Linked DNA regions of Tribolium castaneum. Each later gene encodes a partner of the first gene's protein in a complex. Links are inferred from orthologs where the notes say so. Each region holds a gene or a part of one and is shown in the gene's direction. Other genes may lie near its edges. The genes, in order: MED16, MED7 and MED23.

What was found.
Region 2: MED16 (region 1) and MED7 share a complex: the UniProt entries of both Homo sapiens proteins name them as parts of the mediator complex. The link is inferred for Tribolium castaneum from reciprocal best matches to the Homo sapiens genes MED16 and MED7.
Region 3: MED16 (region 1) and MED23 share a complex: the UniProt entries of both Homo sapiens proteins name them as parts of the mediator complex. The link is inferred for Tribolium castaneum from reciprocal best matches to the Homo sapiens genes MED16 and MED23.

What each region holds. Positions count from the first base shown.
Region 1 is NC_087396.1:16,564,976-16,573,321, reverse strand, and holds the start of MED16 (mediator of RNA polymerase II transcription subunit 16), read left to right. Parts: upstream 1-3,175; 5' UTR 3,176-3,292; coding exon 3,293-3,366; intron 3,367-3,414; coding exon 3,415-3,558; intron 3,559-3,603; coding exon 3,604-4,052; intron 4,053-4,101; coding exon 4,102-4,254; intron 4,255-4,299; coding exon 4,300-4,496; intron 4,497-4,546; coding exon 4,547-5,088; intron 5,089-6,875; coding exon 6,876-7,015; intron 7,016-7,066; coding exon 7,067-7,444; intron 7,445-7,876; coding exon of another isoform or gene 7,877-7,914; exon of another isoform or gene 7,915-8,252; intron 8,253-8,270; coding exon 8,271-8,346. Other genes in the region: tyrosine-protein kinase Src42A, read left to right, coding at 2-508, 1,600-1,756, 1,805-2,013. UniProt on the Homo sapiens protein: Component of the Mediator complex, a coactivator involved in the regulated transcription of nearly all RNA polymerase II-dependent genes.
Region 2 is NC_087402.1:3,007,375-3,014,263, reverse strand, and holds MED7 (mediator of RNA polymerase II transcription subunit 7), read left to right. Parts: upstream 1-3,370; coding exon 3,371-3,562; intron 3,563-3,609; coding exon 3,610-4,083; 3' UTR 4,084-4,098; downstream 4,099-6,889. Other genes in the region: RING finger protein 141, read right to left, coding at 1,489-1,654, 1,753-1,896, 1,944-2,165, 2,211-2,350; small ribosomal subunit protein eS10, read right to left, coding at 2,517-2,552, 2,602-3,042; cass (apoptosis inhibitor 5), read right to left, coding at 4,329-4,402, 4,451-4,604, 4,653-5,225, 5,273-5,479, 5,525-6,013, 6,061-6,132. UniProt on the Homo sapiens protein: Component of the Mediator complex, a coactivator involved in the regulated transcription of nearly all RNA polymerase II-dependent genes.
Region 3 is NC_087394.1:35,202,245-35,210,590, reverse strand, and holds MED23 (mediator of RNA polymerase II transcription subunit 23), read left to right. Parts: upstream 1-3,986; coding exon 3,987-4,400; exon of another isoform or gene 4,401-4,445; coding exon 4,446-7,934; 3' UTR 7,935-7,993; downstream 7,994-8,346. Other genes in the region: uncharacterized protein LOC657935, read right to left, coding at 1-91, 148-261; stress-associated endoplasmic reticulum protein 2, read right to left, coding at 2,330-2,440, 2,499-2,582; uncharacterized protein LOC658853, read right to left, coding at 7,994-8,037, 8,084-8,346. UniProt on the Homo sapiens protein: Required for transcriptional activation subsequent to the assembly of the pre-initiation complex. Component of the Mediator complex, a coactivator involved in the regulated transcription of nearly all RNA polymerase II-dependent genes.

The sequences.
Region 1 (8,346 bases):
GATCGAAAAACCCCAGCCGGAGGGCTTATCACACCGCACAAGGGACCAATGGGAGATCGAGCGTTCTTCGCTGAAATTCGTCCGAAAATTAGGCCACGGCCAGTTCGGCGAAGTGTGGGAGGGTATGTGGAACAACACCACACCCGTTGCAATAAAAACCCTCAAACCTGGAACGATGGACCCGAAAGATTTCCTCGCAGAAGCACAAATCATGAAAAAACTTAGGCATCCGAAACTGATCCAACTCTATGCCGTTTGCACGGTTGAAGAACCGATTTATATCATCACAGAACTGATGCGAAACGGCTCGCTGTTGGAACATCTACAGGGTAAAGGCAAAAGTCTGAAATTGCAGCAATTGATCGATATGGCCGCACAAATAGCCGCCGGAATGGCATATTTAGAATCGCAGAATTACATACATAGGGATCTAGCGGCGAGGAATGTTCTCGTGGCCGATAATAATGTAGTGAAGATCGCCGATTTCGGACTCGCCAGGCTTATAAAGGTTGGTATTATGATATTTAGAAGCACGCGGAAACGGAAGATGGGAAAAAATACAAGTAAGAGTTGGAGAAAGTGGTGGTTTATTCGAAGTTTGAAGATTCTATCAGAAATTTTTGCGAGGCGGAGAAGATTGAAAGTTGGATTTTTTGCGGGGAGCACTGCGGTTTCGGTGCATAAAATTAGTTCAAATTTTAATTTTTTATACAACTGAAATAAAGAATTTAATAGTCGCATAAATAAGACCACAAACCGCAAATTACTGTTCGAAGAGATAAGAACAGTAGATGCGTCAGAAAGTGAAGTAGGCCGTCACGTTTTTCTGATAAAAAGGCTCAACTGTCAATAGTTGTGAAACAACTATCAATAATTTGTATTGATAATTGGTTATTATTAATATTTTGCACAACCACAGAGTTTTTCACGTCGCAAGTAATAAGCTTCCAAAAAATATTTTGGTCTTGAAGAACAGAAAAAATCGACAGTTGGCGTTTTGTCACGGCCAGGTCGTTGGAAAAAATTAGAATGCAGTGTGACGTCATTGGAAATTCAATTCGTTGCAAATGTGGGCTTCTAATAGGAGACGAGGCCATTTTTGAACACAAATCTATTTAAATATTTAACAATAGTCGGTGTGTCCATGCTTATTTGAATTGTTGTATTCGCAAATTAGTACTTTAAGGCAGTCAAGTCTTTTAAAAAATGAATCATTTGCATAAACATTGAACATTGACACATTTGCGATTTTTATGAACGCAATATTAAGTAAAATTTTGTGTAATATCAACAATTTAGCGCTAATAAAAACACTTTCCGATGTAATTCTAAAAGAAAGAGTGATTTAACCTTGCTTTCAAGTTTAAATGAAAGTACTTTTTATCGCGTTATGTTATAATACCAAATTAAAAAGCGTGTTTACGGAAATTAATTACTACGTGAAAAGTTTGGTAGCTTCGTTGGCCGTGACAAAATAATTCGGTTTGTCAGGGCCGTCTGCGCCAGTCATAAACGTCTTTCGGTTTTTATGTGCCGTTTGTGACCTCATTTGGGTCATAAACGAAAAGTGGCCTACATTTAACGGTTTTTGTCGTACAGGAAGATGAATATGAAGCGCGAGTCGGTGCAAGGTTCCCCATAAAATGGACGGCTCCCGAGGCGGCCAATTACAATAAATTTTCGATAAAATCCGACGTATGGTCGTTTGGAATTCTCCTGACTGAGCTCGTCACATACGGCAGAATACCATATCCAGGTGAGATATTTCAATTGGTCGGTAAATTGTTGATTGTCGATTGTTTAGGTATGACCAATGCCGAGGTGTTGCATCAAGTCGAGCACGGGTATCGCATGCCGTCGCCCCCCGGCTGTCCCGCGCCGCTCTACGATATCATGTTAGAATGTTGGAACCGTGACCCAATGAAAAGGCCGACGTTTGAGACGTTACAGTGGAAATTAGAAGACTTTTTCACCATGGAAGGTTCAGAATACAAAGAAGCGTCGGCTTACTGAGGTCACGCCCACCCCCCTGCTGACTGGCTGCGTAATTCGATTGACTTACACTACCATTAGTGGGGAGGTGGATATCTATTTCTATGTAACAATAGATAGATATGCCCGTACTCTTATTTCTTGTCGTGACTATGCTTGTGTTTGAAATAATGGTTTGTGAAGTTTTATCAGATTTTTACACGTCGACTAGGTATCACAAACCACTATTTTGCGATTTTAATTTTAAACTTTGCTTCCTTTTATACATCGTGAATGGGGCTCTTCGCTCTGGCTCATCTATTTTTAAATATTCTTTATATAATAATTTATTTTAAGATTTTATGTAATTTTATAGTGAAATTCGACAACGTTAAATTTTCCCCGATTGAAACTTTTAAACGCACAATTCGTGTCTACCAATAAGAATGAAACGATGTGTAATTGTTGCTTGTGCATATTACCTAATTCCCCTAAGTACTTACGCTTTTGCATTTATTTTTTAAAAACGAATAACATTCCTCTCAAGTGACACTATCCGATATCTCTAGCGTTATTTCCCAGATGCCCTACAGTTATTAAAAATCGGTACTAATTTATGAAAGGCGTTGTTTCTTGGTTGTTTTAGTCACAACTTATGTCTTCATTATTTTAAGATTGTTATTAAAGGCATTGTTTATACAGTTATAGGCCATTATGAAAATATTTTTTGTATTATACACTTAGAATATACAATAAAAGTCCTTTACAATTTTCGTTGCAATTTATTCAAACCACCTCCACGAAATAGAGTTTGCTAAATTCTTATAGCACCCACTGGGGCATGACTACTTTAAAAAAAGGTTACTAAATCAGGGGTTTTTAAAGCAGTCGCATGTGGACTTGCTTTACTATTGCAAGGTTTGAAAAGGAACTGAAATAAGACATCCAGTATTTAAACACCAATATCCAATTAAACTCCGCCCAGGTGGGTACTTCTCGTATTTGGATACTTTTATGTTGTCCCTCGTAACGTTGGCAATGTTTCGCGCGCAACCAGTATTGCATCTCCCGAGAATGTACACTCATGAGAATTCTCTACTAATCGCTAACCTTTTATTTTTTTTTCTATCCATCAAACCTAAACTCAGAGCTTACACAATTCGAACAACACTTCGTAATTTACTTTTGTGAGCAATTTTATGAGAATAGAAGATTTCTCGTCAGCGTACATTCACGCGTATGCCCGACAGCTGTCAGGTGTCAAAAATCTGCCAATTCAGTAAAGTTTTAAAAAGATGCTTCATTAGATAAATACCGAAAAATGGACCATATTTTCACCATTAATAAGAAAATAAATAAATCGGTGGACACCAGCAAGCATCTATCATTCACCAAGTACCGCCCAAACGAAAGTTAACCATTTACCAACCGTTTGAATTCCAGACTCGAGAAGTCAACCTTATGCTCGATTTCAAGCTCCAACGTTGTTGCTTTCAGCACGGAATGCAATATCGAAGAAGCGGGTTCCCTCTTTTGGAACTCTAATGTCTACGTCTGCGATTTAAACAGTCCCTGGCAGGTCCACAAGTACGTCCCCAAAAACACTTTCCTGTATTAAACCTCCATTTCCAGAATATTATCAAACTCTTCCCCCATTTCGGTGCTCCAGTGGGACTTTACGGGCGACCTTCTGCTAGTCGCGGACGAAAACGGCTCGATAAAAATTTACAAAGCTAAAGACCACATCCTAAATGACTGGACCCTTGTCCTCCAGACTGTCCTAGAAGGGGAGCACATTCTGTCAGCGGCGTTTTTCCACTCGGGCAAGAAAATCTGCCTCAACTCTGAGAAAAAAGACAGCGCTTTGTACACGGAAAAGTTTCACCATGTCAAGTTTGCCTGCTCTGTTAAACAGTTTGGGGGGCGCCCTGCCAGTGGGGCCCTGCTACTCACAACGACGGGAATGTTGTGCTCGATTTTACTCCCCCAAAGCACGAGCCAGGTCGCAATGGTCATGGCGACAGAAAGCCTGGCCCCTACTAGGATTTTTATCAAAGCTGCTGATATTTGCTATGGCAAAAGTAGGTTTTTTACAAAATCATTTAAACACCAAATAATGTTATTGTGTAGACGGTCATTTTTTGCTCGCTGTGAGTAACGGAGACTTATCAATGCCTATTCAGTGTTATAAAGTCTCTGTCAGGAAAGCTGAAGATAAGTGTGTCATCACAAGCCAGTCTTTACTCAGTTTTTTTCTATTTGAGGCGCCTAAGGAAGCATTAAGTAACAAACTGAGTCATTTAAGCCGTTGTTTAACGTTTGTTTTAGTGGAACAAGTTTCCAAAGAAAAAAATTGCCACATAAGTCATATCAAATGGATAATGAGAGAGGACGCAGATTCGGTGGTTGTTTCAGCCACTAGTGATAAAATAAGCTGTTTGCAAGTGTGGGAATTGAGAGAGAAGGCTTTGCCGGTTCACAAATCACTAGGAAAATCTGAAACTCCCCAGTTTTTTAACACTGTCGTACGTCTATTATCTCATCATGTGATAATCGATACTTACTTATTTTTTAGTTGTGGCAATACCAGTGCCACTTCCAGTATAACAGCAAGGTCACTTCACTAGCTACAAGTAAACTAAGTCTATTAAATAATGTTTCAAGTGGTTATGTCGTGGCCACATTTGCCGACAATTCCATCCATTGCCTCTACAGAGACACTCTAAAACATTTGGTCAGCACCACTTTGACCATTTGTCCGCGTTATTTTGACGAACCTCTCGCCAGATACCCCAAAACTAGCATCAAAATCTCAAACATTGACATGTCCTGGCTCGGCAATATTTTACTCGTGATTGATTCAGACGATAGTCTGCATATGTTTAAGTTACCGCCCCAAATCGACAGCTCAACGCCTCTAAGTGTACCTTACTGTACCACGATTTTAGAGTATTGCATGATGAGCGGTTTTGATTGGTTAGACTTGTTGCTAGTGTTAAGACCTGGAATGTTGGACGCGATATGTGACCGACTCACCGAAAGTTTTAATCGCCAGCCCTCGGCAGTGCAACAGTTTTTCTACGTGCAGTATTTGTGCATGAAAATATCGCTATGCAGGTAGGTTCCTAGTTTACCGACATTGGGTGACAAAATTTTATTATTTAATTATTGTTTTAAATAGAAAGCTTATGATTTTACTGTATTTTTGTATTATGCGAGATATTTTAAGGAGTTTTTACCAGTTTTTTTATAGCAAAGTTAACAGTTTTTGTAATATTTATATTTTTTTGATTTGCACCTTCTTTTTCAAAAATCGAAGTTCCTGTAGAGTATTTCAAAGAAAATGATTAGATTTTTTTCAAATTTTAAATTCCGTAAAGAGTGACAAACTCTAAATTTGAAAGATTACGTTTGAAGAAATTCAACTACTTAAAACACAATTTTGCCAAATTGATTCTTTCTTTACTAAATGAAGAAAAAAACTACCAGTAATTTTGCATCGAGCCAACTATAACCACCATAATATTTTTCAAGTTATTTATAAAGCTTAGGGTTACATTAAAAAAAATGAGATGTTCCCAAACGTAACTTTAAAATGTTTTTTTTAACTTTTTTGAAAACACCAATAAGGGAATAAAGCTTTCTCTTCTAAATGCCCAAATACGATTTCGAAATATTATAAATGACAATGTTGTCGATTTTTGAAAGGGAAGGTGCAAATCTAAACAGTTTTAAAAAAATATAAATACATATCTAGAAAACAAAAGGAAACATAAACACAAAATATTTGAGAAAAATTTGAGTAGCCAAAAAAAAGCAATAAAGAATATAGCTTTTCACTAAAAAAAATGTTTCCAATTTCTGTATAAGCGGAAGTGCCACCACCTTGAAAATATTTTGATACCTGACTAAACAAATTTTTTGATGAATATTGTTATTGGAACCGGAAACACTTTTAATGTGTGCTTTAGGCGCAACACCTCGAATTTTGCGAGTAAAATTCATCTTCCGATATCTGAACAAGCTGAAATTTTGCATACACACGTAATTTCTGTGACATTGCAGTAGTCTTTAAGTTTATAATTTAGATAATTTAGAAGTAATTAGCAATTGTCTGTACTACTACCTTCGGATATCTAAAAGTTAGGATTTTATGTCTGTGGTTACGATATGAAACGATGTGCAAATAAAGCGTTCCCGTCCTTGCCAGAGAGCGCTCTTTTTGCATTTCCGTATAAGTTTTGAGAGCAAAAAAAATGGTTGTATTTGTTTAACGGTAATCATATAGTAAACAAAAAATGCAGCCAGATAGTAAGACATAAACATAATACAAAAAATTTAATTCATAACTCGAAGCGACAATTTTTTGCACACCGTCGCATATTTATCAAAATATGGTTCGAGATACAAAATAAGTTGTAGAAAATTAAGTTTCTTATAAAAAAAAGTGCGCTATCTTCTGTAGTTTAGGTATAAATTAACTTTATGTTACTTGACCACCGGTAAAATGAAACGAATCCTTCGCTTCAACGTGTTTGAAATTCTTTAGGGCCTAAACCGTTGACAATGGAGATATTATCGTCTCGCTGACTTTTTTAAAGGAAATTTAATTCTCTACATTTTTTTTAACATTTTTCTTGAATCTAACCGTATCCACAACGTTTTGAAAAACGGGACGAAGCGCATATTTTAAATTTTAAATAATTTTTTTCTCATGTTTCTTAGTCGTCACTTTCTTAGTTTGTGAACCTCAACACTTTTGCATTGTTTTCCAAGTAATTAGTGAATTGGTTAGATTCAAATTAATTTAAAACGATTTGGCTCCGAGACGGTATAAAATCTAGCGTTTTTGTATCTCATTTACTAATCTTCTAAGTTATAGTCTGTATTTATCTGGATTTCAGGTTGAGCGTTCAAGGCCAAGTGAAGGCTCACGATCTGGCTCAATTCCTGATGCTTCACAGCATATCTACAGCCTTTAAAAGCCTTCTAAGACCAAGCGAGATGAGCAGTCATGACAAAAGTCCAGCTGATTCCTTAGCAAGTCAGTAAATCATTCAGATTAAAATTTGATTTCTAACTTTGTAATTGTTAGATGTAATTGCGGAAGGACAAACCGACGTGGATAAGGTTTTGATGCATCTCGAGGCGAAAGAATTCACCGTTGAACCCTCAACTCTCCAAAGTTTGCAACAACTCATCCAATGGGTGGCCGACTTGGCTCTCAATTTATTGGTCAAATTGCCAGATAGTCGTCCTTCCATGGGAAAGGTGTACGAGTTGTTGCGCGATGTCAAAGCGTTGAATATGTTGAGAGAAATGCTGGTTTTGATCCGAATCTGGGGGCTTTTGAGACCCGCTTGTCTCCCAGTTTTTATCAAATCGGATGGAAGTTTGGACGTTTTGGCTCTTCTGTTCCGACTATTAAGCCGATTGGTCCAAAACGTGAACGAACCAGATGATACTTTAATTGGTAAGTAACGAACAGACTTGAGCGCATTTATCAGAACAGGAAGTGCGATAACTGCTTCCTCTCAATTTTTTGTCCGTTATTTATTCCGGTTTTAAACTTTCAAACGAAATGTCGATGTTTTGTGCCAATTTCTTCCCGAAAAATTACAACACCAATGAGAATCTTTCAGAACCGTTCAAGTTCATCGGTTTGCCGCTTTATTGTGTTTTATTATTTATTCTGTACTGGTTCCTTTACTGTCCTCTAATGTTCGTCAAAGTGTCACATTTGAGTCGTTACTCAGATTGGCCGACAGAATGGCCGTATTATTTTTGGCTTGTGGCGCTAGTTGTTTTTATAATTCTGGTATCAATATTGGTGGTGTTATGGAAAATAGCACCCAAAAACAAAAATCACTTATTTGAAGTTAATTTCATTGACGATGAAAAACAGAAAACTGTGGAAGAACAAACGTCGCTTATTATTTGTGACGAAAAGAAGAAACTTGAAGAAAGTGCTACACAAATGGAGGATGAAAAAATCGCGACACCGCTAACACCGCTGACCCCGCGCGAGTTGTTTTTCTACGATTTGATCGAAAGTGCCAATAAATCATTCAATTCTTCAAAGACCATTGAACAAAATCGCACAAGTGCCGGAGACAAGTCCCAAGAGTTTTTTATTGCAAATGTTTCGCCAACGAGGACTTGTGTTTCGAACGTTTTCCTGTTTGTTAACCCCGGTGACGACCCAAAACCAGACACGATTCAAGAAACTTGCTCTTTGTAATAATATAAATAAATAAAATATTTTGTATATTTTGTGTGAATTTGGTGATTATTTTTAGACGAATGTTGCCTCCTTCCTAGTCAAGTCCAAATTCAGCTTTTCCAGCCGAGCAATAATAGGGCCGTTTTGGCGTC
Region 2 (6,889 bases), on another chromosome or scaffold:
TGGCAATGTGAAATTTTGGTGCGAAAATTAGTGGTATCGCAATGCGTATAGCCACATTGTTTGTTTGTTTCGTTTTGTTGAAAATTCGGTAGGTTCCAAAAGTAGGGTTATGTTGTCACCCGAAAATGACAAAATTTACACTTTTATGAATTTTGTCTCCATCTCTGCCCTTTCAGAGCGTTATGATAGGATATTTAGGGTCGAAATCTCTACCTTTATTATGTACTATTGCCAGATAAGGACAAAAGTTCAGAAAGTAGGGTTAGGGTGTATTATGCTCTCTTCTGAAGTGTTAAATTTTAACTTTAATGTTTTTTGTGTGCTTTCCTGCTCTTCTAGAGCGCTATTAATTATTATTAAACATGTTTAAGGACAGACAAATCTACCTTGAGTCAACGACATAAATTTCATTGAGATTTATTGAAAAATGCACTTCTCGTGTCAACCTTTTCATGAAAAAGGGTGTTTAAACGTTTATAAAGGGTATGTTAACGTGTGTTGTTAACTTTACCACGTAATAAAACATAAAGTATAACTTGGTAATTTTTTACTTTAACTACTTCTGGATTTTCAAGCTGAAACTTACACCAAACGATTCCTCTGAGTGCCCTGATGACCGTACACTATGAATTTTCTTGTGCAAATTGAAAATAACATTAGAAAAATAATTTTTATTTTCACTCACTTTTTACTTGAATCGCCATTTTTGTTGATTTTAATTTGAGTTTATTTTTTATAATATCACGTTAATTTTTATTATTATAGTGGATCAAAGTGTCGTCTTTAGGTTAGACTATTGCCTACTATCGGTTAGGAACAACATGATCTCCAAAAATATAACGTAGTAATGGGCTCCAGAAGGTTTACGTAGATAGGTGCGTTTTTCCCAAAAGTGAGTTTTTTGAGATCGAACCGCAAGTGAGTCACACTGCGAGGAGACTCCCATAGACAGAAGTTGCAAACATAAGGTGCCAGACCGGTGCCAGTTTGGCTGATTGCAAGTATGTCTTTATCATCGATTCGGTGACGACTATTAGTTTCGTAAACTTAATGGATTTAATAAATATCTTTAACATTAAATGTGATCGTGTCATGTTGGGTAAAATTCTTCCATCTGTGCTGTCTGTGCATCCACCTTTTCAAATACAATTAAGAAATTTTCATAATAATTGTATTTGATAAGGTATTGGCATCATTTTGACGTGAGCAAAAATTAAAAAAATATAAAGTAATCGGAATTATTTTAAATTCGCGCCATTTTTAGTACGTGATGATGCGGCTAGATGGCTTCAGCTAGGAATTCATTGCCAACCATTATGTTCCGCTTCTATAAGTGTTATTCTAGGTTTTGTTTTCTCTGTCGTGGTATTGGTGAACCTATAGATCGCGCCACTTTTGACGTGAATAAATAACTACACAGTATGTTTTGAGATGTATTTATCAATTCGTAAAATAACATTTAACAACATGAAATCATATGTCAGACTATTAAGAAGGTAAACATGGAGATTCCTTGTCTTCAGCAAGTTCCATCAAACTGGACTTGATTTCTTTGCTAATCTCTTCTGCTTCTGGCACCTCAGATATAACCCATGTGTCATCGGTACTTTCCAGTTTTTCTCTACAAATCGGGCACGTGTCATGAGTGGCATTCCTTAAAAAAATCTAACAGTTACTTGAATAACAAAAGTATCATAGTTGATTTTTAATAACATTTTTTTCCGATTTCTGATCAAGTTCAAAAAAACAAACCATTCCTCAATGCACGGCAAGCAGTAACTGTGCATACAGGGCAAAATAACTTCATGCTTCCTTTCTAAACAAATGCAACATTCTTTTGTGTTCTCTGCAGGACTGTCCGTAATATCGTGAACCACTTGTGAGACGGACATTCCACTAATAAAAAGTTAAATCAGTAAAAAACTTTAGCTCAACAGTCATACTTTCGGCTCTGTTCTTCAGCTGAAGACTGACATTTAAGTGTCTTGAACACTTTTAAAAACTCATAAAGGTTTAACAGTCGGTACGTACTCACTTTTTGAGTATTAGAGTCAATTTTAACACAAGCTATTTGCACCGTAGCTTTCCAGAAAACTGTAGAATCTGTCCCTTTCTTTACAGCAAACACTAACTGTTTCCCCTCGGAATCTAAACGCTGTTTGGAGCTAAAATAGTACAATGAATAACAACCACACAGGAACTGTTATTACAGTTGGTTGAGTTCCCCAAGTATTGTCAAAAATTTCTCGTAACTAAGAGTATGAATTTCTTCAGAGAGTAAAGTAAGCACGGGCTCATCCGTGATTATATCGTTAAAATACTCGTGAAATTGGGAACTCTGTTGTCCCATTATTACACGAATTAATCACATGTATTATTGTAAACAATTTTGACAAGTGTCACAATGACGTCTATAATGGCGTCCTCTATACAGGAGTAAAGGGAATTAATAAAACAATTAACGATCGACAAGGTTTTATTTGCTGATCATGCCTTATTGTAATAAAAAACTTAATTTATTGGGGCGCTTTTCCTCTCCCAAAGCCTCCTCTCTGTAACAAACCGTGGTAAAAATCGTCAAAAACCCCTACCATAACTTACAAATTCCAAATCAGCGGTGCCAGCCCCCACATCAGCCTTCTTATCAGATCCAGGCCCCCCGGGAGTCCGCCTGTATCCGGCACGGTCTTCGGCAGGCTTACTGGAAGTTTCTGATTTGAATGGCGTGGGACGAGCACGCGTTGTTTCGGTCCTAGCTTGTCGCTTGAGCGTTGAGGGCACAATTTCAGGCGGCAAATGCAAAATGGTCCTCAGGTACTCAATACCGTTATTTGTCAAATACCAGTAATAGTGCCGCCAGGCGAATTGTTCCTTAACGTATCCCTTCGATTTCAAAGACTGCAAAGCTTTGATCACCTGCAAGTTGGGAATACTTTCCAATTCGGGGTGTTTAGGGGCATGGGTGTCTTTCTTAGCCACCATGACGCCCTCCTTGAAGAGGTATTCATAGATCGCGATCCGGTTCTTTTTGGGCATCAACATCCTAAAATCAACCGTGGTTGAGGTTATAAAACATGTCAAACCCTAACGTGAATTAAACTCCACAAAAAGGGCTAAGATTCACGATAAAGGAAAAAAGAATGATCTGTGATTGATTTTCGTCAAATTTATTACAAAGATGATTAAGATAAATACGAATTTTAAAAAATAGCTTACTTGACGCGGTATTACCACAGCTGTCAAACTGAAAAAGGAACAGGCTTGCCAATAAACTAGTAATTTTAGGTTTTTGTGATGGTTTTTATGTAATTTTGACATTTGTCGTTTGTCAACAACTGTATTTTTCTTAATTATTGTATTAAAATAAATAATGGCATCGTCGGAAGCGATCCAGGTGAGTTCCCTGCCACTGCCCCCCATGCAGTACATCAACCACTACACGGACGAGATGATCCGGCGGGGGCGAACCCCCAGGCCGCCGCCTCCGATTCAAGACACGTATCATATGTTCGGCAATGCCTTCAATACCGAAGAGAGCATAATCAGGCCTTTGGAGAGTCAAGTAAGTCCCTAAATACGTCCCGTGGTTAAAACTAATAATTTTATTAGGGAATCAAACGTTTGTATCCACTCCACTTTGATAGACGAAGGGAGTTGAAAAAATTAAATCAGTCATTGTTGGCCAATTTCTTGGACTTGCTAGACCTACTTGTGAATTGTCCCGACTCGCCAAAGCGGGCTGAGAAAGTCGAAGATTTAAGTCTGTTATTTATTCACATTCACCACTTGTTGAACGAATTCCGGCCACATCAGGCTAGGGAGACGCTTAGGGTCATGATGGAGTTGCAAAGGCGACAAAGGATTGAGACCGCCAATAGGTTCCAGAAGCATTTAGACAAAGTTATGGAAATTTTGCAACAAGCGATTCAAAACCTGCCTGAACCCATGGAAGTTGACTCAAAGTTGCTCGTAGAAACCGAACTTTTAGTAAACCAAGAGAAGGCTTCAAAGGAGGACAACAAATCAGACCCGTGCTTTATTTTGGATAGGATTATGTGCAAGATTGTGGATGATATGCAATAAAGTTAGTTTTCCAAATGTTTTATTGAACTCTAAGACAATAGAAAACATATTCTGTTAAATTTCTAGAGGTTTTACACAAACTATTAAAACCAGCACACGTTTTAACTTGAACTAATTAAAAAAAATAAGATCTAGGGTATTTACAACACAAGCGGGTTGTGTATTGTTTTGATAACTTACTAATAAGCATTGAACATAATGATTTGAATTGCATTTCTGCAATACTGTTAGAAGGGTGATTGAAATTAATTTCTCCAATTTCTGCCCCTTCCTCGGGAGCCACGGCCTCTCGACCTGTTACCTCGTGAACCCCCACGATCTGAAACCAATCATTAAAACAAATAGACATTTTTCCCATAAAATTTACCGTATTGGAAGTTATTACTAAACTTTCCACTAGGTGGTGTATACAATTTAACGTTGTCGCCCGAACGAGCCGGTCGGGTCTGTTTAGTCCCTGTAGAGCCATTATCGAACGTGATAGGCACATGTCTTTTTTGCCCACTTGTGGCCGGTTTCCTCTGCAAATTTTAATTTTAAAGACTAGAAGACTAAATCGAAAATCCCACCAATTCCTTTTCCACAACCTCCTGCTTGAAAGAAAGCGTGACGTTACATTTGTACATTGGGGGCTGGTAGAACAAGTCTTTGATCAAAACGTTGATGTTGTTGAGTAGCGAGGGCGCAATTTTGGCTTTTGAAGCGTTCACGGAATCTAGGCCTGTGATCGGCTTCGAGTTCAGAACTTTGTTGCAACCTTGCACTCCTCTAGAAAAATAAACCAGTCTTGCTCTGAAATCTTTCAATATTTGGGGATCATGAGTGAGAAAATCGGGGCACTGTCGAGCCAAGCGATGGAACGCGAACAACAAACACTCTACAAAGGAGAACTCCAAGTTGGGCATTTTGTACACATCGGCGTTTTCGGGAGGCGTTGGCATGTACAGCTTGATTTTGTCGAAAATTTGGACTACGTGCAAGGAGGGGTTTTCGAACTTTCCGCAATAGATGCTAAGCTCGGCCAAGTGCCGCAGGAGATGAAGCTGGAATAATTCGCCTTGCTCCAGAGTGGCGATTTTGTCCCACTGGGGGAGAATCTGGTCGCAGTAATAAGCCACGAATTTTGTTGACTCGTTTTTTGCCTAAAAAACACAATTAGAGAGGTGACAAGATGGGAAAAAATTGTTACTGAAAAAAATGGTAAAGCATGTGTGGTGCAAATAATGACCCTGTCAACAATGCAGTCTTCAAGCGGGTCAAAATCCCGGTCAAGTTCCATGATTTCGGAAATGAAATCTAACAGTTCTTGTTGACCTGCGGCCGTTTTAGCGTATTTTGAATTTTTTAAGCAACTTATTATCAACACGATTTCCTCAGAGCTAATATCATCCTGCAACTACATGAATAAATTTTTTCACTTCATTTTGGAAAGTTGACAAACTTGTAAAAGCTTTTTCGATTCTTCTACTACAATGTTCTCGATTTCTGTCGGCTGGCTTTCAATGGGCTTGATAAACTTCAAGTGAATAAATTGGAGACATTTAACTCTAGCTGCAGCGCTGCTTAAAGAGCGAATATGATTGTACATGGTCCTAAGAACATTAGCAGAGTCTTGCTTCCACAGCTGCAAAAGACACCAAGACGCAGTTGTGAAGTCTCGCTGTTCCTCCAACTGCATCATTTGGGCAAGGATATCAGTGACTTTAGTCAAATGTTCCTTCACGTCCTTGCAAATTGAAACCAAATACCGCATGGCACAAGCTCTAATCTTGCTCTCCTCATCTTCACACAAGTCCAGCAACGCATTCAACGCTTTATCTTGCAGTGAGGGGAAGTGTTTGAAAAATTTTGAAAGTATTTGTGCTGCCAGCATTTTCTCGCTTTCGGTGCCTTTAATACCTTCAAAGCTCTCGACATATTCGCTTGAATGCTGCAAATTCATGTTTTACCAGACTGGGGGAAAAATGTCGTGCTCACCTGGGAGACCTTGTCTTTGGCATCTGACAAAATGTTATACTTTTCGTATAACTTCTCCAAGTTGTCACTCATCTTACTGTTTTTTCGATAAATCTATTAGTCGAAATGTGGTATAAAACATGAAATAATTTCGTGGCGTTTTTATGTAATTCTATTCGATAATTTACACAAACTTGATCACAAACCGGTCATCGTTGTTTTAGCGTGCCCATCGTCCATTTTGAATCGCCGGTATTGAAGGAAACTGTTACAAGGCACAGGGTTTGAACTACTGAGCGATAGATGGCACATCCATAATTAAATTTAAAAGGGTGATTTACGTAATAATTTTTTTACCAGTAATGGCGGATTTAAGATGCAAACTTTTACTAAAGTTTCATCTTTTAAATAAATACCTTCAATTAAATTCCTACCATTCTGTTCGTTCTTCGTGAACCAAGTGTATATTAAATTAATAAATCAAAAGTAATTTTATAGTATGAAGTTGTGAGTTATGACACATTATTTCATAATATTTTAAATTTGTAACACTGAATAAAAAGCTATCTTCAATGTTGCCAACTTCAAAATCCCGGTCACTTTGATCTCCGATTTAATTGAGAGCACGTTACAAAAAATTAAGGACAGAAACATTTAAAAAAAGTTTTTATTTTCATTTATTATTTTTTTAATAAGATATTTTACAGTAAAAGGTAAGTTAAAGATTTAAAAGTGGGGGATAAGAAGAGCAATAATTATGAAAGTAATGGTGGCAATTTATTTGGAATAGTGTGCAATATAAAAATTCAAAGCGCGTCGCATCAGCATGATATGAAACCTCGGGAGGCAT
Region 3 (8,346 bases), on another chromosome or scaffold:
TTATCCCTTTCTTCTTCAGGTTTATTGCTAGTCGAGTCGTTCGCTGTTTGACACTAGAGTAGGTTTCGGACTGATCCAGATCAGCATCTATCTACAATTTTTTAACAACTAAATTATAATATTTGCCTTGAATTAATTGATACTTACGTGGCAAATTTTATTGCCGTTTTTCTCAGCATAATTAAAGAAGAAATCGCCTAAACTTGTGTTGTCTAAAGTAGGTTTGAATTCTGCACCTTGCAATATATTGTTTCGCATCATGTTGACACTTTAAAGGTACAAGAAGGAAGCAGTGTGTCTTATAGTTTTCGTCAACTTTATATAAGTTATCTGTCTTCATAAAATGACTAAGCGAAATCTTCAATAGATAATCAGCGTCAACTATTATGCTGTGTGTGGTAACAAAGTAAAGACTATACCCCTGCTCTAGTTTTAACGCAAATATCACACAAAGAAAAGGAAAACAGCATGACAATTGCTTTCAAAGTATGAATAAACTTTGATAGGAGACAACATAGTCAACAACTTTATGTACAAGATCAATAAACTGAAATAATGTTATCAAGCATTTATTTAATAAATCAAAAACTGAAAAAAAATGTGTATTAGCTGTGGCATCAGGCTTTTCTACGGGTGCATAATTTGATTAAAAGAAATCCACTTTGTGCAATTTATTTAGATAAAATTTGTGTTGATATTATATAGAAATCTGCTGCAATAAGTAATAAAGTGTGAATACTCTGTAGCATTAATTAAACTAATGTAGATGTTTACATGCAAATAGCTGCAAATTTTCTTTTTCTTCTTGCAATTCGATTTAATTATAATTGAAATTTATTAAAGTTGTTTAAATATGTATAAAAATAAATACTTAAGCTAAAATCGTGTTTGCGTAAAGATAATTAGGTATATTGCTCAAAGAAAACAGAACTTTGGACATAATAATGTATTTGGTTAATACTAATCTTATTTGCTTAATAAAAAATGTGGTAATCATGTGAATGTTATGTATGTAATTTTTATAAAATACATTAGGTAATACCTAACTATTGTTTTTATATTTACATCACTAAAAATAATGGTTGTTTGTCTAGACAAGTTGTTAAACAGATTTTAAATTAATATAAAATGTACGTTTAAGGAAGATTCACATTTTTTTTAGAGTGGGGGCAATGTGTTTCAAATTTAGAATTAAAGAAAAATTAAATGAAATAAACATTTTGTAATAAAAATAAATAAATAAATAACTCAAAAGCGATTTCTATTAAAGTGGTTTGGTATAAAAAAAAACATTACTAATAACAAAAAATTTTTGAAAGTAATTAATTAATAATAATTATTATAAGGATTGGTTTACAGAAAGCAAATTAAAAATTAATCCAAAATTAAACTAATTCGATTTTTTATGTCTTTTATAATGCTTGCAAACTGTATTTGGACTTCCAAAAATTGTATGTACTTAGTAATAAGGGTACAATAATGTAGAAATTGTTTCTTTTTAATTCATGCAGAACACAGAAGCTATCGATAAATACCAAATTTTCTTCACAAGATGAGAACCTAGTTTAGGGAGAAAAGGCTCAATTATTTTGTATGTGAATAAAATTAAGAAAAACGGTAGAAGAAAAATGACACGAAGTAATAGTATTGTATGTTCGTAATAATTATACCTATTGATAACAAAAACAATCCTCTTGTTGTGTTTTGTTCCGATAACAGATAAATTATTGCTAGAGCTAAAAGAAAAAACGAAATATTGATAAAATCGGTTTAAATAACAATTTTGTAGATATTGATAAGATTCCGCGCCTGATTAGGCACAAATGCAACACAAAATACACTCCACAAACCATACATTCTGATTTTATATCTGTTTGTTAATTTTTTTCTTTATGAAATTTGCCGAACTTGAAATTTCAGTGAGGTAACAGGGGTAATACTTTTTTTTAACTGTTTGTCTGTTACTTTTACTCCCCATTTCTAACACAACTAGTTGTGAGTGTAGGTAATGCAATGAAATAAAACGAGGTTTTAACTCAATAATTTAATAGTCATTGAAAATATGGTAATTACACAAATTGTCTCCTAAAATTAAGCATGGAATGGTTACAAAAGAATCTCATTATAGGCATCTGTGCGTAAAGTAGTACCACCCAATTCTAGTACAACTTATGTAAAAATACACTTTATACATGATAAAAATTCTGATAAAATTATATTCCACAAACGATAAATTTACAAAATAAGTATAGAGAAAACAACAAAATGCAATAACTGAACAGACACGGTTTATACACGATAGGAATTGAGCCTTTGAGGGAAGCCTAGCCTACGCCATCCGAATGGACTGGATAATCTGGAAAATCGCCGATCCGCACACGACGAAGATGAACAGCGCCAAGATCATGGGCCCCACTGGCGAGTTTTCGCTTTGCTGCTTCTGCAAAAGGGGCACCGTCAGCTCCCCATCAACAAACAATATGGTCCAGCGTACTCACCGACGATTTGGGCACATTCCCTCGCAAGACCACGTTCTTGCTGGCCTTTTCGTTGGCGAAACGCATCCGCTGTTTGGGAGCCATCGTTCACAGGAAAAAAATACGGAAAAGTGGAAATAATTCAACAGAAAAACATACACACGCGTTTTTGACACGTCCGTGCCTCGACACTGGCCCGAAAAGTGCGGAGAGGGGCAAGGGAGGCGCTTTTTTGACGTTTATTTGACACGTAAGATGAAAATGCGCATGCGCCACGGACGCGTGGAGAATTTCAAACAAGGGAGGGAGTGCTAGAAATTTCCAATGGGTTCATTCAATTTGCAATAATTTATGATAATCAAGTATATGCCTAGTTTTCTTGGTCATTTTCCTATCTTCTATGCATTTTTTTCAAACATCAAAAACAACGTTGAATTTGACTTTTTACCCTGATTTTTAACTCAGATTTTTCAAAAAACAAAAATTTTAAGGTGCATTTATTTCGGCACAAATTTTACATAGATATTGTAAAGGTTTCGTTACTTTTTTGTCAGTATTTTATGCGGTAAATTATGGGAACGTCGTTGAAAGTTACGGATCTTCTGGGTGTGTTTGCGGGAGCGATTCGGTTCGTAATTAAGGACAAGCGTCTCAGACTGTTTCTGAAACTATTCATTCTTGAAAAAGTCCTTTCATTCATGGCATTGGCATTAGCCATGTTGTTGAGGAGCTTTAGCGACATTTCAGGGATTTTCAAAGAGTGGACTTCGGGATTATTATCCAGCCAAGTCAATAATTGTTTCATAACTTTCACCTGTTGGTCAGGAGTGACCTAAAGAAGGATAATTGCACGTTTAATTGCAACAATTAAATTGTACCTTTGTTAGGGCTTGTCGAATTAAGAATTCATCTTTCGTCGACATCCAAATAACGGGAGTTCTTTTGCTGCAAAGCCACATGTAGTTTGATTTCCCAAAAATACTTTCCGCACATTTAATTTGTTGAGCGTGCATTAAAATTTGCACCTAGGGAGAAGAAACAAATAAATTAAAACGATTTAAATGAGTGACACCTCACCTGTTCTATGAACTGTGAGTTCATATCGAAATGTGAGACAAAAAGAACTCTTTAAGCGCATAATGAACGAGACGTGCGGTAATAATATTGCCTTTATTAAAAGATAAGCAAACAAATTTTCACGTATGAAGTGGATATGCAAATAAACGAATAGATTCGGGCTGATATGAATTTTATTACAATGTGGCTAGGTATGGAATAATTTAGATTGACGTTGTTTGAGAGTTGATAACATCTTACAACGCACGCAATTATTTATTATCTCTGAGGATTCACCCAGCAAGTCAAAATAATCGAATACGGTTCTGCAGTGTTAGGCGCTTGTATAATGTGTTGCCTAAACATGTAGTCGGCCAAACATAACCTACCGTTATTATCCCATTCAAATAACCACAAAATAATGTTTTCGCCTGAAAAATAACCGTGGACACGATGGGCGAGCCACTAACAAACGTCCTAACCGACATTCTCAAAGTTGAAGGCATCGAAGAAGCCTTTAGTTGCTTTCTAGTGCACCGCCCCAGTGCCGAAAAGGAAAAGGTGGCTGTATGGCAACAAGAGTTGAACACAGCCCTGCGGAGCATCCCCCAGGAGCAGCTAGACACCGCCCTTCGCCAGTACCTCAACACTGCTGTACTATGTTCCCAAAGCAAGCTCCAGCTCTTGATGGAGCTCCTGGAAAGTGTCGTGCGCAACGGTACCATTGGGGCCCGTATCGTGTGTGAGGTGGTGATGAATTTCGATAAACTACAACACACCAATGCGCGGTTCTGGATCGAGTGCTTTAAACTCGTGCGGAAAATTATAGATTTGGTTGAATACAAGGGCGTTCGCGAAATTATGAAAGTAAGTGGGGAATTGTTGTGGTAATTGTTTGATTGTTGATTGTAGGGATGTTGCGAGAAGGCGAAAAGTCTCCCCTGGCGCTTGAACGCGGGCTTGCAGCCCCAAACCCAGGCTCTTTTAAGCGTCGCTGAACGAATCATGGACAGGAACGCGTGCCTCCTGCCTGGCTATCTCCTAGTGAACGAGCTCCAGAAGGCCTACCCTGACTGCCCCCACTGGCGCCTTGCTGCCCTCTTCTCCGATTACGTTGGCAGTTTTCGGGCCTGTGCCCAAATGGTGGCTATCGTAGGCCAGGCGGAAATGCGGCCAGTTGTGGAGCACAGCGGCTGTCCCGAACACTTGGTCAATCCCTGGAAACTTGACCCGTGCACGTTGCGATTCTCGCTTAAGGGCACTTTACCGTACGCTCCCGAATTACTAGAGAAGCAAACCGGTTTATTACGATACGTTCTGGAACAGCCGTACAGTCGCGACATGGTGTGTGGCATGTTAGGGTTGCAGAAACAGCACAAGAGACACTGTGCCGCCCTTGAGGAACAACTGGTCGAGTTGGTGATTTTGGCGCTGGAACGCACGGAAAATGAGGGCGATGAGAGCGCCACTCAAGGGTTATGGCTGCACTTGTCGTCCCAGTTAATTTATTTTGTTCTTTTCCAATTTGCGAGTTTCCCAAACATTGTTATATCGTTGCATTCGAGACTGCAAGGGCGCGACTTGCGGAGAGGGCGCGACCAACTCATGTGGGTCCTCTTGCAGTTTATTTCCGGTTCGATTCAGAAGAACCCCCTCTCGAATTTCCTCCCAGTTTTGCGGCTTTACGAACTGTTGTTTCCGGAACAGGAGCCCCCTTTGCCCGTTCCGGACTTCAACCAGCCCCAGTGTACGAGACAGATGGCAATGACGTGCATTTGGATCCACTTGACTAAGAAAGCGCAAGCCGAAATGACCAACTTGACTTGGCCAATTCCCGCCAAACTACGCAACCATCATGATTTCCTCCAACAGTTGGTGCCCCCTAATAACACCGTGTTAGCGATGGGAAATGACTACAGAATCGCCTTGTTGTGCAACGCCTACTCAACGAACCCCGATTATTACAGTAAGCCAATGGCAGCGCTAGTTGAGACGATCCAAGGGAGCCCCAAATCAACAGCCCCACCTACCGCGCCTTTAAGCATGGCCGTCTTGGACTCATTAACTGTGCATTCGAAAATGAGCTTAATCCATAGTATTGTCACACACGTGATTAAACTAGCACAGGCCAAGTTAGGAATGCCACTATCACCAGCTTTGGTGGAAACGTACAGTCGCCTGTTGGTGTACACCGAGATCGAATCGTTGGGCATCAAAGGGTTCATAAGCCAGTTGTTGCCAACCGTATACAAGTCACACGCTTGGGGCACCCTTTACACACTTCTGGAGATGTTTAGTTATCGGATGCACCACATCCACCCCCACTACCGTGTCCAGTTACTCAGCCACTTGCATTCGTTGGCAGCGGTGCCGCAAGCCAACCAAACCCAACTGCACTTATGTGTCGAATCGACCGCTTTGCGTCTAATCACGGGGCTGGGCAGTGGCGAAGTTCAGCCCGAACTGAGCCGCTTTTTAGCCGAACCCAAGACGTTAATTTCGGCGGAATCGGAAGAGTTGAATCGGGCGCTGGTTTTGACCCTAGCTAGGGCCACGCACGTGACGGGGGCCGACGGCTCGTGGTGTCACGAGTTGCTGGCGACCATTGCACAAAGTACCCCCCATGCGTGGGCCCCCCACACCCTCGAATGCTTCCCCAGGGCTCTGGCCGAGTTTTTCACGCAACATGCCGTCCCTAAAGAAAACAAACAACAATTGAAGAAAGCAGTGGAGGAGGAGTACCGGAAGTGGTCGTCCATGAACAACGAAAATGACATGATGGCGCATTTTGGGGTTGCGGGAGCGCCCCCACTTTTCCTCTGTTTGTTGTGGAAAATGCTCCTCGAGACTGATCACATCACGCCAATTGCCTACAAAATCCTGGAGAGGATTGGGGCAAGGGCGCTTTCGGCCCACTTGAGGAAGTTTTGTGATTGTCTCGTGTTCGAGTTTAGTAACAGTCCTGGGGGGCAACATGTTAACAAATGCGTGGATACGATCAATGACATGATCTGGAAGTACAATATTGTGACAATCGATCGGTTGGTCTTGTGTTTGGCGCTGCGGACGCAGGAAGGGAGCGAGGCTCAAGTCTGTTCGTTCATCATCCAGTTGGTGTTGCTTAAAGCTACAGAGTTTAGGAATCGGGTGCAGGATTTCGTCAAAGACAACTCGCCCGATCATTGGAACCAGACCAACTGGCACGAGAAACACTTGGAGTTTCACCGGAAATACCCCGAGAAGTTTGCCCCCGAGGAACAGTCAAGTGGTTACCACCCCTATTTTGGCAACGTGTGTTTGCGCTTTTTGCCGGTTTTTGATATAGTGGTGCACCGGTTTTTGGAAATACCGCAAGTCACCAAAAGTTTGGAGATTCTGTTAGAACACTTGGGTTGTTTGTACAAGTTTCATGACCGTCCGGTCACTTATTTGTACAACACTTTGCACTATTACGAGACTAGGCTTAGGGACCGTCCACCTTTGAAACGACGGTTGGTGGCTGCTGTCTTAGGGACACTCAAAGACAGTCTTTCGGAGCCCTACCAACTGTACCTCGGACGAGCTGCTGACGAGATGTGGACCCCCGAACTGGACTATTACATACAAGTGGTCAAGCGAGTCGTTGATATTCTAGGGGGCGCCACTGCCAATTCCGTAATTGATTGGCGGTTCAATGAGTTCCCAAACGCCGGGGCTCATATTCTTTACACCAGCTGTGTGGAACTGATGGCGTTGTCCGCCGGTCCGGTGGCCGTAGCCAACGGTTTGCTAGACGTCGTGGCCAAAGGCTATGTCACAATTCCCTCGTCAGACATCCACCAGTGGGTCAATGCTGTTGGTTTAATTCTGGCAGCGCTTCCAGTTAGCTACTGGAGTGTTCTACACGATCGACTTGTGGCCACGTTAAACGAGCTAGAAACGTGGAATTTTGACTGTTCTCCCTTCCGTTTGTTCGATTTCAAAGAAACCCACGCTGGGCTTTTGCATAATAATTTTAGTTATATGCTAGCTTTGGCTCATTCGGTTTGGCATCACGCTGGTCCGGGGCAGATCGCCAGTGTGCCCCGATGGGCGCGTGAGTGTTTACCGGCTGTGGTACGGTCCGAAGAACAGTTTCTCTATGTTTGTCATCTTGTGGGGCCCTTTTTGCAACGGTTTAACGTGGCAATAGTGGAATTGACGAGTGCTTTGTACGAACTGTTGGCACAAGTTGACCACGCGCACAGCGAGTTGAAATATATGGACCCGATCTGCGATCTCTTGTACCACATTAAGTACATGTTTGTGGGGGATAGCATGAAGAAGGAGTTGGAGACTGTGGTGCGCCGGTTAAGACCGCCTTTGCAAATGAGGTTGAGGTTTATCGCACATTTGGCGATTGAGGAAGTTAATGCATCGTAACTCACTTGTATTATGTTTTTACATTTACGTAAATACATTTTTATAAAAAAATAAAAAACTTAATCCGATTCACTCTCCCTTGAACTTGGAAAATCCGGTTTCGCTAAAACAGTTTGTTATTTAATTGGTAACATTTCGTCGTTACATACCTTGTTTGGCCAATTCTTGCTGTTTTTGCTCATTTTCTATATATTTGGTCTGTTCGGCAATCACCGATTGGCTGTCGCTACAATTTGAATATACCTCCAATATATTTTTATTCAGTTCGATAAATGAATGTCCCCACGAAAATTTATCTAAATACTGCCGAGCTAATTTTTTGTATCCGGTGATGTACAAAGTTGCGGCTATCGCTTCAACGCAACTTAATTGGCAAGGTCGCCCGTAATTGATGGGGTTTGCGGCCACGAGA